3 linked regions of the Chlamydomonas reinhardtii genome follow. Each later gene encodes a partner of the first gene's protein in a complex. Links are inferred from orthologs where the notes say so. Each region holds a gene or a part of one and is shown in the gene's direction. Other genes may lie near its edges. The genes, in order: CHLRE_03g179550v5, CHLRE_09g403300v5 and CHLRE_03g172050v5.

Region 1 (5,178 bases):
CACCCCGGCACCCCCCAGGTGCGCACCAGCAAGGGCACCTTCCTGGGCGGCGACAGCTCTCCGGCTCTGACGTGGCTGGAGTCCAAGATTGCGGCCGTCACCGACATCCCGCGCCAGAACGGCGAGTTCTGGAACGTGCTTAACTACAAGCACACGCAGCACTACGACTCCCACATGGACAGCTTTGACCCCAAGGGTGAGCGAGGGGCCTTGCGAAAGCAGCAATGACCTTGGGGAGGGCGCGGCGGGCGGGGATGAAGTGTTAGACGTAATGGGCCACCCGCTCGTGCACTAACCCGAACAATGACCAAACACGGAGGTCCTGCCGCTGCCCTGGTCGCCCCCCCCCCGCCGCCGCAGAGTACGGCCAGCAGTACTCGCAGCGCATCGCTACGGTGATTGTGGTGCTCAGCGATGAGGGCCTGGTGGGCGGAGAAACGGTGTTCAAACGCGAGGGCAAGGCCAGTGAGTGGCGCGGCAGCCTGGAGGGGGCCCCGAGCCAGCGAGCAGCGCGTGTGTTTGCACGGGTGGCTGCGGGCGGGGCTGCAAGCGAGTGGAGGGTCAGGGCGCGCTATGGGGCAGGGGGACCCAGCTGCGTCTGTACGGCACCAACCACTGCCATTGATTACCGGGCAAAGGCTGTCTCCCCCAACACCGAACCCTGCTGACCGGCACCTACTCCACATCACTCCCCACCCAGACATCGACAAGCCGATCACCAACTGGACCGACTGCGATGCGGACGGCGGGCTGCGCTACAAGCCGCGCGCCGGCGACGCCGTGCTGTTCTGGAGCGCCTTCCCGGACGGCCGGCTGGACCAGCACGCGCTGCACGGCAGCTGCCCGGTGGTGACTGGCAACAAGTGGGTGGCGGTCAAGTGGATCCGCAACAAGGGATCCTACAACCCCTAGGAGCGAAAGGGCCGGGGCAGGCAGGCAGGCAGGCAGGCAGGCAGGCAGGCAGGCAGGCAGGCAGGCAGGCAGGCAGGCAGGCAATGTGACCGGCAGCGCAGCAGGGAGGAGAGGTGCGCAGATAAGCAGTTGGTGTACGGCGAGCCCGTTGGACCCCTCGGAAAGAAGCGGCTCGGCCGAGTGGTGCATGGAACTCCCCTGCTTATCACTGCGATGAGCTGATGCTGACCTCTGGACGCGTTGGCGGCGGTACACCACGTACCACATTGTACGGCTGTGCATCACCAACAGTCTCAGTTTAGATTTTCATTCTTCATATCTTGTGGGAGGCCAGCAGCGCAATTTTCCGCTGACGCGTGATTATAACGTTAGCTGTGTGTATCTGGGCAGAGCTGTTGCGGTACACGCTGCGTGCAAGGGTAGTGGGTGCCAGGTTGATTTTGGTGGCGTGCATGGCAGCATGGGGCGCTGCATTGGCACCCTTTGCAAGGCAAGAGCTTTACCGTTTCTTGTCTGGAAGAATACAGTCCTAATGGCTGAATTGTGCAGCATGAGAGCAGGTTGTAGACATGAGGCGCACGCGTGTGCCCGCGCATTTGGGCAAGGGTTTCATGATGCATGGAGGCGCATGTCACGGGGTCCTGGTACGCCGCACCCTGGGTCCATCAGCGCGGCTCACGCGTAATATTATTAAGAACTGCCATTGAATGCTGGAGTCATTGGAGAATCGAGCCCATGGTCTTATGTGTAAGCCGTGAAGCCGGTAGTGGCCTGTGGGTGCTCCTGCGCGACTGCATGCAGCCGCCCCTGCATGCAGCTGCATGAGGCTGGGCCCACAGGGGCCCCCCTTGGCGGCATAGTAATCACGAAGGAGCACGCAGCCTTCACAAGTCCGAATGAATGAGAAGCATATCATTACGCTCAACGCAGATACCACGCACGTCTCATTACCAAGCGACTCACCGCCGGGCCTGCCGAGCACGGACTTGCTGCACACTCCAAAACCCGCACCTGCTCCCTGACGTCGGTCCTTACGGTGCCTCTCCCTCTCGTCTATTCCGTTCCGGGTCCTTTATATCTCAATAGAAAGCAAAGTCAAGCTAGATTAAATTGAGCGGCTGTGTGGCGGGCGAGCGCGCGAACTCCAATGGCAGCAGCCGAGCGGAGAGACGACCTCGGGATTGAAGATGGAGACGACGACGACATTGACGAGAATGAACTGTAAGAGTTTGGTTACCAACATTGCACAGCGGGCGCCGCGAAGCGGGTTGGCATTTCAGCCTGTTCGCTCCTCTCGCTGTGCAGGCGACGACAAGAGGAGGCATACCAGCGGCAATATGAAAACGAGCAGACATGGGATCAGCTGCAGGAGGATGAGCATGGCAACCTGTTCGTGGTACGTGCCTGAGCCGGCTGGAGAAACCGTGCCCTGGTGCCGATGGTCGCTCCCCTTCCTGCCAGCCGGGCTGCCATCCGGCGGCCGAGATCTGGACTGCCACAGCGACTCACAAAATACATCCAGAAGTTGGCCTGTGTCATGCCTGACCCCTCACGCGATGTCCCACAGGACAAAACCGCGGAGCAGCGCGCCCGGAGACAGCGGTTGCTGTCGGCGGCGCAAAGCGCCCGCATCCGCAAGGGCATGATCCGCTATGTGCTGCTGGTGAGCACCTGGGGCAGCTGGGCTGGTGTGTGTCTGTGTGTGTGTGTGTGTGTGTGTGTTTGTATTTGTTTGGTTGTGTGTGTGTGTGTGTGTGTGTGTGTGTGTGTGTGTGTGTGTGTGTGTGTGTGTGTGTGTGTGTGTGTGTGTGTGTGTGTGTGTGTGTGTGTATGTGTGCGCGCGTGCGTGCATTGGTGTCCACATGCCGTCACAAGGGCCCAGTGCGTGCGGGGACGTAAGGACTGCGACGGACTGGGACCAGCAGTGGCACGCGGGCACAAACACGCCAGACACACCACGCGCTCTCCTTTTCCAAGCCGGCCCATCCCTTGTGCCACCACGCAGCTCCATCTCTTCTAAACCTCTTCAGCTCTCACCGCCCCTCGGCGCCGTCCTCCCCTGTGGCCATTTGCCTCCCCGCTTCCTGGTCACACAGGTGGTGGACCTGTCGCGCGCCGCCTCCGCCCAGGACCTGCGGCCCAACCGGCTAGGCTGCATGCTGTCGCTGTGCCGCTCCTTCGTGCGCGAGTTCTTCGACCAGAACCCGCTGAGCCAGCTGGGCATTGCGGTGATGCGCGGCGGGCTGGTGGAGAAGCTGACGGACCTGAGCGGATCGCCGGAGGCGCAGGTGGCGAGGCTGGATGCCGGCAAGCTGGGTGCGTGGGGGGCGGGGTCGCGCAGGACAGGGCAGGGCTACTGCCAGCTCGTGTGCGTATGTGCGTGTGTGCGTGGGACTAATGGCTAGTTCCTAACCACCGCACTCCGCGACCCGCCCGCCCCGCACGCAGGCGCACCCGCCGGCGACGCCTCCCTGCAGAACGCGCTGGAGCTGGGCGTGTCGCTGCTGAAGCAGCTGCCGCCGTACGGGCACCGGGAGCTGCTGCTGCTCTTCGCGGCGCTGGCCAGCTGCGACCCGGGCAATGTGCTGGACAGCGTCAAGGCGTGCAAGGACAACAACATACGGTGAGCGGGGGAGGGAGGGAGTTTATTTCGCCATTCCCATCAATGAATCAGAGACACGGGCCGGAGGTAGCGAGCGCCACAACACCTTGACCGTGAGGATACACACATACATGGCACCCAGAGCTTCGTTTTGTTGTTTTTTTAATCCATGGCACCCATGCTCATACGCGCCCGCCCGCCCGTCGACCTGTCCGCAGGGTGTCGGTGGTGGGTGTGGCTGCCGAGGTGTACGTGTGCCGACGCATCACGGAGGACACGGGCGGCACCTACGGCGTGGCGCTCAACGAGGGACACCTGGAGCAGCTGCTCATGGCGCACTCGCCGCCACCGCCAGCCACAGCAGCACAGGCCAAGGCGGAGCTGGTGAGGCCGCGAGGGGGCCGGGGTTCGGGCTGTGGCGCTCTGCAGCAGCTGTCCGGGCGGGCGGGAGAAGGCCGAGCTGTGTTGGCGTGCTTGATACAGGGCTACATCAGTTCTTGGTTGCCCGCGTCCCGGTAGTCCCGGCTTGACCACCTCCGCCCTGCCTCACGCCTTGCCTCCCCCTCCTGCTTTTGACGTGGCGGGCGCCAGGTACGCATGGGCTTTCCGCAGCGCAGCACGGAGGAGGCCAGCTCGGCGGTGTTCGTGGGGCAGGAGGCGCGGCTGCTGCCGGGCAGCTACACCTGCCCGCGCTGCCGCAGCCGCGTGCCCGAGCTGCCCGTGGAGTGCCACACGTGCGGCCTGACGCTCATCTCCAGCCCGCACCTGGCGCGCTCCTACCACCACCTGTTCCCGGTGCAGCCCTACCACGAGGACAGCGAGGTGCGTGCCTGTGTGGAGGGGCGTGGGAGGGGCGTGGGAGGGGCGTGGAAGAGGGGCTTAGCCGTTCATGGAGAACGGAGTGATCAAACCACAGGTTCAGAGTGCCGGCTTCCTGTAGAAACAGCAGGAGCATACCGTTGACGAAATGGCCCATAGGGATAGCGCATGAAGGGTTTTTGTGGGGGTGGGTTGCGGAAGCAGACGGCGTGCACGGCACGTGCGGGCTTATTGGCGCGGACTGACTGAAGGACGCGTGGCGGTGAGTGGATGGGTGGGGGTAGCCGTCCCTGAAAGTTACAAGCGCCGATATGTCCAGTAGGGGGGAGGTAGGAGGTGGGGTGGGGTGCCAGGGAGGGAAGGTGTGACGCGCAGGTCGCGGTAAGGCGAGGTCGTGGGCGGTAAGGCGTCGGCCAGGAGGCGTCGTGGTTTTGCCGCACGACACTGTTGGCTTGTGCACGCGTCGTGGCTGCCAAGTCCTGGGCAGTTGCTGCTACTATTTGAGATGCGCATTTGCGTAATGGGGCGACATAATGCAGCGCATGTCGATTATTGCAAGGATTTGTGGAGCATACCCCGGGTCGTCTTAGTCAGGTCGTGTCATGTCGAAGAGTTGGATTTGTGCAGGAATAATGCCCTAGCTACAACTTCTTCCACATTTCGCACGGCTGTTCAGTGAACGTTCTTCGGATGCACTGCAGGAGCGGGCGGAGGCTGCGGCAGCGGTGCAGGCGCAGCAACCGGCCATGTGCAGCGAGGTTATGACAACCACGGGCGCGTACTGCTTCGGCTGCCTACGCGAGGTGTCGGAGCCGGGCGTCAAGGGGCAGCTGCACCTCACGCTG
Region 2 (4,669 bases), on another chromosome or scaffold:
TGTGCCGCGTGATGTGTGTGTCAACGGTGGCGTTGGCTTTGAGCCCGACCCCTCAGCCATGCCCACCCCCACTCCCGCATCCACCCCACACGCGCCCGCAGGTCCGGTGACGAGCTGGCCCACACGCTGTCCTTCCTGTTGCAGCTGGGCTTCCGGCGGGTGGGGCAGCCCTGCGCCTGGGCGGAGCTGCGGCCGCCGGAGCAGCGCATGGCGGCACACCTGGCGCAGCTGGGCGTGCTGGCGGTGTTCCAGGTGGGAGGGGTTACATTCATGATTAGCTAAGGAAGTGGTAGACGGTAGAGGTAGAGGGGCAGGAAGGGGGAGGAGGCACGAGGAGGAGGGGTGCGGCAGGGTTGTGGGAGAGCGCTGGGGAAAGGTAAAGAGCGTCGCGATGTGTTCGGGGCTGGCTGCCGGTTCTCGGCCTTGGGATACAACTTGGCGGCGCTCCTCATTCATTCCTGTCTCCATGTATGGATGCCCTCTCCTCCTTTAATCGCCCTCAGACCGATGACGGGGAGGTATTCTACACACCCACGCGCCTCGCCGCGTCCCTGTGCGGCGGCAGCGGCGGAGCTGGCGGCGGGGCAGGTGGCGCCGCGGGAGGCAAGGGCAGCGCGGGGGCCGCCGGCAGCGGCGGCGCGCTGGCGGCTCGTGGCGGCGGCGCGGGCGGCGCGGCCGCTGCGGCGGCGATGGATGGCGGCGGCGCGGGCAGCGACGCCTTTGTCATTGTAGAAAGCAATTACCGAGTGAGGGCTATTGCGGACAGGCACATCGCGTCCCTTACCGAGTGCTCGTCCTAACACATGCAGGCAAGAGGTTGTCCTTTTTCCGGAGCTCATGCACACACGCCTCCCTACGCCCTCTCCAACCTCCAGGTGTATGTGTACACTCGCTCGCCAGTCACCATTGCTGTGTTGGAGCTGTTTGTGAAGCGCGAGGCTCTGCTGCCCAACCTGTTCGTGGGGGCCATCCGCCGCGACAGTATACTGGCAGCGCTGGCCAGGTGGGGACACACAGGGATTTGGGTGAGAGGGAGGGAGGAAGTGGAAAGGGAAGAGAGGGACGGAAGGAGAGAGGAGCGGGAGGGTGGGAGCGTTGGGGAACGGACGGGGCACAGGGGCGGGCAACCCGAGTTCGGCGGGATGGCGTTGGGGCCAGTCATAGGAGAGTGCCCTCGGGGTCTGGATTACAGGGTTCATCTGGAAGACTCCTGACCCCTCACTTAGTATCTCACGTGGAATGGTTCTTGCCCGCTTTCCCTGACCCGCATGCCTGCGACACGTGTACGCACGCGCACACACGTACACACGCACGCACAGGGGCATCACTGCGGATGAGCTGGTGGCGTACCTGTCCGCCCGGCCCCACCCCTCCATCGCCGCCCGCTGCCCCGTGGTGCCTGAGGTGCGTCCTTGCGGCCTGCGTGCGTGCATGTGTTAGCGGGCGCGAAGGGGTGGGGGGGACGGGTACATGCAGGGTTGCGTCTGCGTCCAAGCAATCGTATGTCGCCTGCTATTTGTCATTACCTTTTACCATTGCGCCTGACTATGCCTTCGCTTCTTCTTAAGTACCCATACATGTAATCCCTCCCTGCCCTCCGGATCAGGTTGTGTCGGACCAGATCCGGCTGTGGGAGGCGTCCATGAATAGGCTGCAGGTGGGGGCACACGCGCGGTGGGGGAATCGGGGTGGAGGGCGGGGAGCGCGTGTACGGGCAGGGGCGCGGCCAGGGGTTGAGGCTGCAAGCCACACGGGCAGCCCACTGGGTCCGCGGCTGGCACACGCCTTGCCGGCCCAAAACCTGTTTGCCTCCTCCCCGACCCATCACTTCCCGCCCACCACCCTCCTGCTCCGTGTTTTATGGACGGCAGCACCGCCCGATGCCACCCGCTCCGCTCACAAACGTGCCGCCCCACACGCATACATGCCCACACACGCTCCCTTATCGTCCTCCCCCCATATTTGTGATTTGATCACTTCGTTCTCCACGTGAAAGGCTGCCCCCTCCCCGTCCCCCCCCCCTCCTCCCCGCAAAGGCCCACCCCGCGGTGCTGTATGAGAACATGGAGAGCCGCCAGCTGTACGAGCGGGCCGTGGCGGCGGCGCGGGCGGCCGGCACACTGCAGTGGGAGGACGGAGCCCGCATGCGCTTCGTGGCGCTGGAGTCAGGTGGGTGGCGGTTGGGTGGTTGGGTGGTTGGGCGGGTAGTTGGGTGGTTGAGATTGGGTGGTCGGGCGGGGCTTTGGGTTGGGGCGCAGTGGAATGGTATGAGCCGTGCGGAAGCAGAGCCCACGCCTTGGTCCCTTTCTCGCTCAACGGACTCCCGGTGCAGCTTTCAGTGCAGCTCGGCGCACTTTGGCTGTCATGTTGGGTTCGGTTCTATTAAACTCCTCACACTATCCTCCCCTATCTCGTGCGTCTCGGGCCTTCCTCTCCTCCTCCTCGTCCTCTCCCCACCAGCCCCAAATTGCCGGAATCAGCAACCCGCACGCCCACATACACACACGCACACAAACACACGGTCTCGACCCTGTCCCCTTGTGCTTCTCTATCCCACACAGGCCACGAGGCTATGAAGCTGCTCATCGTCAAGGCCAAGCAGGACCTCAAGCTGTAGCATCAGGAGCCCGGGATGTAGCAGCAGGAGCCCGGGGCTGTAGCAGCAGGCGAGAGGTTTAATGGTGAAGTAGGGACAGACCCACGGCCACGGCTGCAGCCGTGGTCACAGCTATAGGTCACAACAGGAACTGCAGCGTTGGAGCTGTCAGCAGGACTTGCCAGGGGCTTGGAGTCGTCGGACTGCCGCTGCGGGTGCCGCTGGGGGCAGCTGGTCCGTGCGGAGGCTGGGCTGCGTGCGGTGGTACCGGGCACGATGCTAGTAATGCGCAGCCATCCGGTTGGCGGGACTGCTAGATTGGACTTTGAAGGTTTCCGCACGAGCGTAGCCGGTAGTCGGAAACCTAGAGTTTCAACGACCCGTACCAAGAGTAGCATGGCGTACGGCGTGTCTCAGGAGCGGTGTTGTCGGCATTGTGTGGTTTGGTGTTAACTTCGGCGTACCGTACTCGCAGCTACTGCCGGTATAGGTGTCCTGCTCGAGGCTGTAGTGGCTGGATAGCTGCATTCTGAGGCGCCACACGGCGGCCGCCCCCAACAGTGAAGGAGATGTGCCCTCTGTGCTCGCAGGTGGCCATTAAGATTGGCTGGTTAGGAGCAGGAGTCTCGTGTGCGCGTGTGTTTCGGACTTGAAATTGCTAGAAGACATTCAAAGTTGGACGTTATCAATTGAGTGCTGTAACGGAAGCGTCGGCAAGTATATGGAAACGATGCGTGAAGTGGCAGTGGAGGAGTGGAGTGAGCCGTAGAGCCGTGCAGCTGCAAAGCTGTGCTGCTTTAGAGGTGATGGACCATGCAAAGTGGGCAGAAGCCAGAAGGGGAGCATGCGGGTTGTGCAGCGGTGGTGGACGTAAGCCAGGCCGTCAGTCGATCGTCGCGGGCATCCAGCCACATCACCTGCCTGCTTGAGAACGACCTGACCGACCGGTCATCCAACAGTGCTGGGCCGGTCCAACCCACGCATTGGTTGCTCGGTCAGCGGCAGCCTCGGCCCGGCCATCCAGCAGACCCGGGACTCCACCCCAGCAGCCATCCGGCTGCCGCGCCCAGGTGTCCAGTAGCGCTGGGACGGCCCGCTACACACGACTCTCACACGGAGCGCCTAGGCCACCCTTCCAGGTTTCCAACGCAGCGTTCCTCAGCAGAGCGTGAGAGCGAGCCCAACTGAGTGCCGTGCCGACACCCTCTCCCCTGGCTCAAGTGCACGGGAATTCCTTGGCAAGTTGGCATTGCACTGGCAGTCTGGCGCTGAATAATGAAGGACGCGGCCAAAACGGCATGATGTTGATCTGCCTCTCAAGGGAAAAGTGGGCTGCGCCAACACCACGTTGGTGCAACGTCTGAGGCCGAAGGCATCAAAACTACTTCATGGGTGCGAAAGCCGTGCACCATGCACTGGTTCTGCAATTTCATCACGCCCCATGACACTCCAATATGTAGGAGTTGAAACCATGCACATGGGAAACATACTGCTATCACTCTCTCTCGCACGTACACATTCACCACCATATTCCGCTTTTCTCAGCAGGCGTGCTTGTGTCAAAGCACCTTCATACCGCATGGTGTAGTAGTTTACTATGTCTCCAGACGATTCTCTCCCTTCAAGTCATAGTTGGGGTGGCTTGAAAGCCACCGATATTCTTCCAGTGCATGAATGGCATAGATCACACAACCGAGGCCATGTAGGAATAGTAGAAGTGGCCATGCTGGACCTTCATCTTATTGGGTGCAGCCCCAACCATGATGGCATATATGGCATGACGGCCATGCAGTCGTAACATGCATTTTTAAGTGCCTACTAACCTCGGCCCCTTCTGCAGGGGCAGAGGGTCCCCCAGGGTGTGGAGTGTAATGTGTCGTCGGCAGAGGATCCCAGTAATACGGTCGACGCATGCCAGACATCTTACGTACGGTATTGACGAAAGCCCCAGACCTCCGGTACGCGCCCGACGAGTTTGTTACCTCCCACATCTCTCCATTCGTCCGGAAAGCAGCCCGACAGCACAACCAGCACATGCAAGCCTTCACATGCAGCCGTAATCGCGGCGGCTTC
Region 3 (5,299 bases), about 890 kb from region 1:
GCGCCGCGCTGTTAGCCTCTGCCCATCAACCTGCATAGCCTGTCTATCATTCCTTCACATTCAGCGCGCAATCGCGAGCTCGGCTGCTTGGGTGCTAGGAGCTGGTGGGCACGCTGTTGATGGGGTGGCAGCACGCGCATCGCCCCAGCTGCGTCACGCCGCCTGGCAGCGCCCTGCAAGGAATAAACACACACGCGCGACTTACGAGTAAAGCTCTTTATCTGCAATACACTGAGGCGACTATCAGGCTGTAGAGCTCCACATGCAGGCTCCCTTCAGGCTCATAGCACTGTTATCGAGAATGCTTTTTAAGACTGTACCGGGGCTTCTTGCACCCCCAGTTCCTGCCTCCCACCTGACCCACCTGACCCACTCCGGCATGTTGTCCGCCGCCGCCAGGCTCCGGGCGTCCATGCGGTCCACGTACAGCACCCCGGCCAGGTGGTCCACCTCGTGCTGCGCGATGCGCGCCGCCCAGCCCGTCAGCCGCAGCCGCAGCGGCAGCCCCTCCACGTCCACCCCCTCCAGGTCCACCTCCCGGTACCGCCGCACAATCGCCTGCAGGGGCGCGGCAACAGCAGCAGCAGCGTGAAAGGAAAGCATACGGCGGCTTGCGACAGTAGGTGGGTGTGCATGTGGGGCTGGCGTGTGCCAGGCCCCGCTGCTTCGCCACCAACTGCCGCAGCACCGCCCGCCCAGCTTGGTGCTCCTCTGCCAGACACTCGCATCCTACACCCCAACACAACCCACTCCCTCTGACCGCTTATCCCTTTGTACGGCAAAAACCGCCCCACGACCCCCTCTCTTCCCTCATTCCCCAGGCAGGCAGACTGCCGCGGCCACCCACCCACCGTGTACCCGCGCACGCTGAGGCAGCCCTCGAAGAACGCGCCGCCCTCCTGCCCCACCGCCTTGAGGGTGGGGTTGACCACCACCAGCGGCCCGAACGGCCGCCGCTCCACCGCCGCCAGCAGCTCGGCGCTGTACACGCCCGCCGCCGCCTGCCGGTCCATGTACTCCTGGCGGTCCTCCATCACAATTACCTGCGGGCCCCGCAGCGATGCAGCGAGGAGTGGTGTGCGAACATGCGAACATGCAAGTGCGAACCTAGCGTGCCGATGTGGGTCGCCATGCCCCTATTGCTCGCTCCTAGCTGCGTGCACCAACGTGCGGTGATGGAGTGACACCGGCACATGCACGGCAACGCGGCACCAGCCCAGCCGCAGCCTGCCTACCGCACTGCCCACCGCCCCCCTTCCTTATCGTCTACACCACCCACCCGCCAGGGTTCGCCAATCTGTGGTGCGGCCAGCCCCACCCCCGGCGCCGCACGCATGACGTCCGTCATCTCCTCTGCCAGGCCCCGGAGCCAGCCGCTACCCAGCAGCTCGCGAGGCACCGTCTTGGCAGGCTGTGCTGCGGGCAGAGGAGCAAGCAAGTCACCGAGCCTCAACCCCAACCAGCGTGCGGGCCGGCACAGGAGCGGGGACAGGGGACGGAATGCTGAATGCAAGGGGTGTGCGGCGAAGCTGCGTGTCAGCTGTAAAGCTCGCACCTGCCGTAGGACGGGAGACCCCGCCTGGACGATGGACCGCAGCTTGGCCGCATCGGGGGCTGGGGAAGTTGCCATGGCAACGACACCCTGACCCCGTGGAGCACCCGTACGTGCAGCCCGCTCCGTCCGCTGCAGCTGTCGCTTCGCCGCTGCTGACGTGCAGGTGTAGCGGCTTCCAGAGAGCATAGTTGGCCTAGGAAACAAGCGCAGTGGAGCGATCTAGAACGTGAAGCTGGGGCCAATGGACCCGCGTGTATTTATTGCATCGATCGGAGTCTTCCGTGGATTTTCGATGCCAGTCAATACATGAATTATGTATAGATATCAAGCTTACAAGTAATAAATCGGGAAGCAAGTCTATGAATGTGTCAATGAGCTGCACTGCACATTAAGTTCCGCGCGCTGCTCGCGCGGCGGGCGCCGAGGCCATGGCGGGCAAGTCATTCGGGGCTTAAAAACATTAGGTTAGCAATGTCATTTAACGCGACTGAAATGGACTCGCTCTGTCGCAGACGAGGGCGATTTGCTGGTGGTGCTCTTCGACCTGGTGCTGCTGCGCCCGGATAATCCCTCGGCGGACTCCCTTGACGTGACTCCGGCCGAGATCCTGTCTCAGGTGGGGCCGGGGAGCGCACGCGGGGAAGAACCATCGCGTTCCGCCTTTGTCTGCCGTTCGCGTGCTGACCTGCTGCAACACCTGCACCCCATGCCCATACCCTTCCCTGCCCCTCACCTCCTGCCCCTGACTTCCTGCAGCTCCTGGCTTTTGCAAATGCCTACACCATGCTCAGCAGCCACAACCGCCTCGCCGTGTTCGCGGGGCAACACGACTTCAGGTGCGGGGCTGGCCGGCCCAGACGGAGCCTATCTCCTGCTTCGTAGCCGACCGCCGCTAGCAGCCAGCCGCCAGCCGCCAGCCGCCAGCTACCTCCGCATGGCGCCTCCACACGAGCGCCATGGCCCCATGGGTCCCTGGCGCTGCTGCAGTGCCAAGGCTGCACACAGCACACGCATGGGGGGCATGGGGGGTGCGAGCTGCTCTGTGCGAGTGTTCGGGGTGTGTGGCGGCCGCTAGCAGCCGGCCAGGTGCTGGGGCCAGCCCGGACCGTGCGGCACACAGGCCGTGACGCACACAGGCCGTGCCGTGGTCTGGACGCAGCTGCACTCCTGCTGCTGCTGTGCCGCCTGCTTCCCAACCTGTGCCGCCCTCTCCCGCGGGTGCCGCCTGTTTGCGACCATCCCACGTCTCTTCCAACCCACCACCTGCCCGCACCTACTACCCCTCCGCATCAACTCCACTCGTCATCCACCCTCTCCCCCTCTCCCCTCTCCCCTCTCCCCCCTCAGCCACCTGGTGCACCTGGGCCTGGGCGAGGACGCCAGTAACACCGAGGTCTTCCCCGCCGGCGCCCTGCACACACGACTGACGGACCTGGTCACGCAGTGCGCGGCGGCGGCGGCGGCAGGAGGCGCGGGCGCAGGGGCTGCAGCCAATGCTGGCCAGGGCGCAGGTGGGAATGATGCCGCGTTGGCGAGTGGCAGCGCCTTGTTTGGGTGGTGGTAAAGGAGGGGAATGTGTCGATGTCGGGCGCACGGACCAGGGTAAAGGCGCTTGCATGTTCGCCGTTCACCGTGCATCGCATCGCGCTTGGCCCCAGTCTCTCTGCCGTCTGCCGGCACTCACGCAACCCCCCACCCCCACCCCCAACCCCACCCCGCCCCAGGCCCCGGCTTCGCGCTGTCGGGCGCACTGTCCCGCGCGCTGTGTCTGGTCCACCGCCTGCAGCAGCAGCAGGCGGCCGCGGGCGGGCGGCCGCGCGGGCGGCCTCGTGTGCTGGCGCTGCTGGGCTGCGGCGACACGGCGGCTCAGTACATCCCGGTGATGAATGCCATCTTCTCCGCGCAGCGCGCCCAGGTGGTGCTGGATGCGGTGGTCGTGGCGCCGCAGGACTCGTCCTTCATGCAGCAGGCCGCGCACCTCACAGGTGCGGTGCTAGGGCGCTAGGGCGGTAGGGTGGTAGGGTTCTAGGGTGGAAGGGTGGTAGGGTGGTAGGTGGTGGGCTGCTGGGTGCTTGAGGGCTTGGTGGCATTCGTCGGTGCTCAAGGTGGTGTTTGAGGAAGGGCTGCAGTGGGTGCGTTGGTTGATGCTGGTAGGCCACGCATGGGATGGGGCTAAACAATGGTTGGCTGCGCCGTTGAGCAGTTTGACGTTCTACGAGCCAGAGCATACCGGTATGACCGAGCGAGCCACAAGCTGAGGCCGCACGCTGCAACCCGGTGGCAGCGGCGGCGTGCTCGGCTCGCTGACACAACCAAACCCACAATGCCCAACATGCACACACGCAGGCGGGCTGTATTTCCGGCCGCACCGAGGTCGCGGCCTGCTGGGTGTGCTGCTCAACCACTTCGTGTGCGACACCGCCACCCGCAAGCAGCTGGATGAGGCTCAGGCCTTAGGGGTGGACTTCCGTGCCTCCTGCTTCTGCCACAAGTACGTCATAGAGACTGGCTACGTGTGCAGCGTGTGCCTGTCCATTTTCTGCCAGCCCAGCCGCTCATGCACCACGTGCGGCACAGCGTTCGGTGCGGGCGGCAAGGCGGTGGGCGCTGGTGGGGGCGGGGGAGGGGCGGGCGCGGTGGGAGGCGGGTCGTGAGGGCGGGAGATGGGACGCAGGGGCGTGTGGGGGTGCGGGTGTCAGGCGGTATGCACGCAGGGGTAGGCCCACGGGCAGTGGCAATCCGCCAGGGACGGCCAAGTGGTTGTGTTGAGGCTGCGGCTGATGATTATAAATAAACGCGTGGCGGGCGTCACGCTTTGTGTTGGAAGCATAGCTATGGTGTGAGATGCAATGGCACAAGCGGGCACATTTTGGGAGGCTGATGGAACGAATGAACAAGAAAATTAACGAAGTGTCAAGTTAGTCATGTCGGGCTTGGCGACAAGCTACATTATCGGTATGGAGTGGGTCAGAGGGCGTCACACAAGCAGATGCAATTGCATATCTGGTTGAAAGATACCCGCCCCTGCCTCGGGTGGAGGGCCTGCCGCAGTGGAGGTGGAGGTGCATTCGCGCCGCGTGGGGCTGCGTGGGGCTGCATACGGCCCCTGAATCTCGCCAACTACCCGTTTCCGGTGGGTTTTGGCAAGGCATTTTGGGGCCCCTGGATGGCGTGGGCGAGAACGTGGCCTTCTCGCCAGCGGCGGCGGCCTACCCCTGGAAGATGCAAGAGGGCCTATGCACCCTAGTGGTGAAGCCCAATCACTGTGTAGCGCACCTGTATCCCTGCCATCAGTCCATCAGTCCATCAGTCCATCAGTTACATGCACGCTGCTGTTACGTACCTACCCTCACAGCCGAAGTTGTAATGGGGAGGCTTTCCTTGCACGGCCGCCTTCAGTGCATGTGCGCCCACTTATTCTTCAGGTGTGTTGCTTAAACACGCGCACCCTCACACTCACACACGCACGCCGCAAAACATACACACATACACATGCACTAAACACAAAGAAATGGTATGGTCCTGTGTGTATCTGGTGACACATCAACAGCTGTTCTATATAACTGATGTGCACGCAACATGCCTCTCCGCACTCAACTGCTATATCCACTCCTGGCCCGCAGCCTGCTGCACGCAACCCCTAAGCAGATTCCTGCCAAACATGGCATGACAGTTTGGTGACCGGGTAAATGGGTAATGCCACGCACTCTCATCACGTTGCTCCATCACGTTGCCTAGCCTGGC

What was found.
Region 2: CHLRE_03g179550v5 (region 1) and CHLRE_09g403300v5 share a complex: the UniProt entries of both Arabidopsis thaliana proteins name them as parts of the 7-subunit TFIIH core complex. The link is inferred for Chlamydomonas reinhardtii from reciprocal best matches to the Arabidopsis thaliana genes GTF2H2 and AT4G17020.
Region 3: CHLRE_03g179550v5 (region 1) and CHLRE_03g172050v5 share a complex: the UniProt entries of both Arabidopsis thaliana proteins name them as parts of the 7-subunit TFIIH core complex. The link is inferred for Chlamydomonas reinhardtii from reciprocal best matches to the Arabidopsis thaliana genes GTF2H2 and AT1G18340.

Annotation. Positions count from the first base shown.
Region 1 is NC_057006.1:4,896,689-4,901,866, forward strand, and holds the start of CHLRE_03g179550v5 (uncharacterized protein), read left to right. Parts: upstream 1-1,814; 5' UTR 1,815-2,059; coding exon 2,060-2,133; intron 2,134-2,217; coding exon 2,218-2,308; intron 2,309-2,479; coding exon 2,480-2,575; intron 2,576-3,008; coding exon 3,009-3,228; intron 3,229-3,360; coding exon 3,361-3,535; intron 3,536-3,732; coding exon 3,733-3,898; intron 3,899-4,105; coding exon 4,106-4,336; intron 4,337-5,034; coding exon 5,035-5,178. Other genes in the region: CHLRE_03g179500v5 (uncharacterized protein), read left to right, coding at 19-196, 361-465, 701-912. UniProt on the Arabidopsis thaliana protein: Component of the general transcription and DNA repair factor IIH (TFIIH) core complex, which is involved in general and transcription-coupled nucleotide excision repair (NER) of damaged DNA and, when complexed to CAK, in RNA transcription by RNA polymerase II.
Region 2 is NC_057012.1:644,556-649,224, forward strand, and holds the end of CHLRE_09g403300v5 (uncharacterized protein), read left to right. Parts: intron 1-101; coding exon 102-252; intron 253-503; coding exon 504-746; intron 747-875; coding exon 876-1,003; intron 1,004-1,319; coding exon 1,320-1,404; intron 1,405-1,606; coding exon 1,607-1,657; intron 1,658-2,036; coding exon 2,037-2,169; intron 2,170-2,561; coding exon 2,562-2,617; 3' UTR 2,618-3,480; downstream 3,481-4,669. UniProt on the Arabidopsis thaliana protein: Component of the general transcription and DNA repair factor IIH (TFIIH) core complex, which is involved in general and transcription-coupled nucleotide excision repair (NER) of damaged DNA and, when complexed to CAK, in RNA transcription by RNA polymerase II.
Region 3 is NC_057006.1:4,009,860-4,015,158, reverse strand, and holds CHLRE_03g172050v5 (uncharacterized protein), read left to right. Parts: upstream 1-1,883; 5' UTR 1,884-1,983; coding exon 1,984-1,990; intron 1,991-2,067; coding exon 2,068-2,171; intron 2,172-2,311; coding exon 2,312-2,391; intron 2,392-2,902; coding exon 2,903-3,066; intron 3,067-3,279; coding exon 3,280-3,540; intron 3,541-3,901; coding exon 3,902-4,209; 3' UTR 4,210-4,934; downstream 4,935-5,299. Other genes in the region: CHLRE_03g172100v5 (uncharacterized protein), read right to left, coding at 95-173, 365-558, 852-1,043, 1,280-1,411, 1,556-1,630. UniProt on the Arabidopsis thaliana protein: Component of the general transcription and DNA repair factor IIH (TFIIH) core complex, which is involved in general and transcription-coupled nucleotide excision repair (NER) of damaged DNA and, when complexed to CAK, in RNA transcription by RNA polymerase II.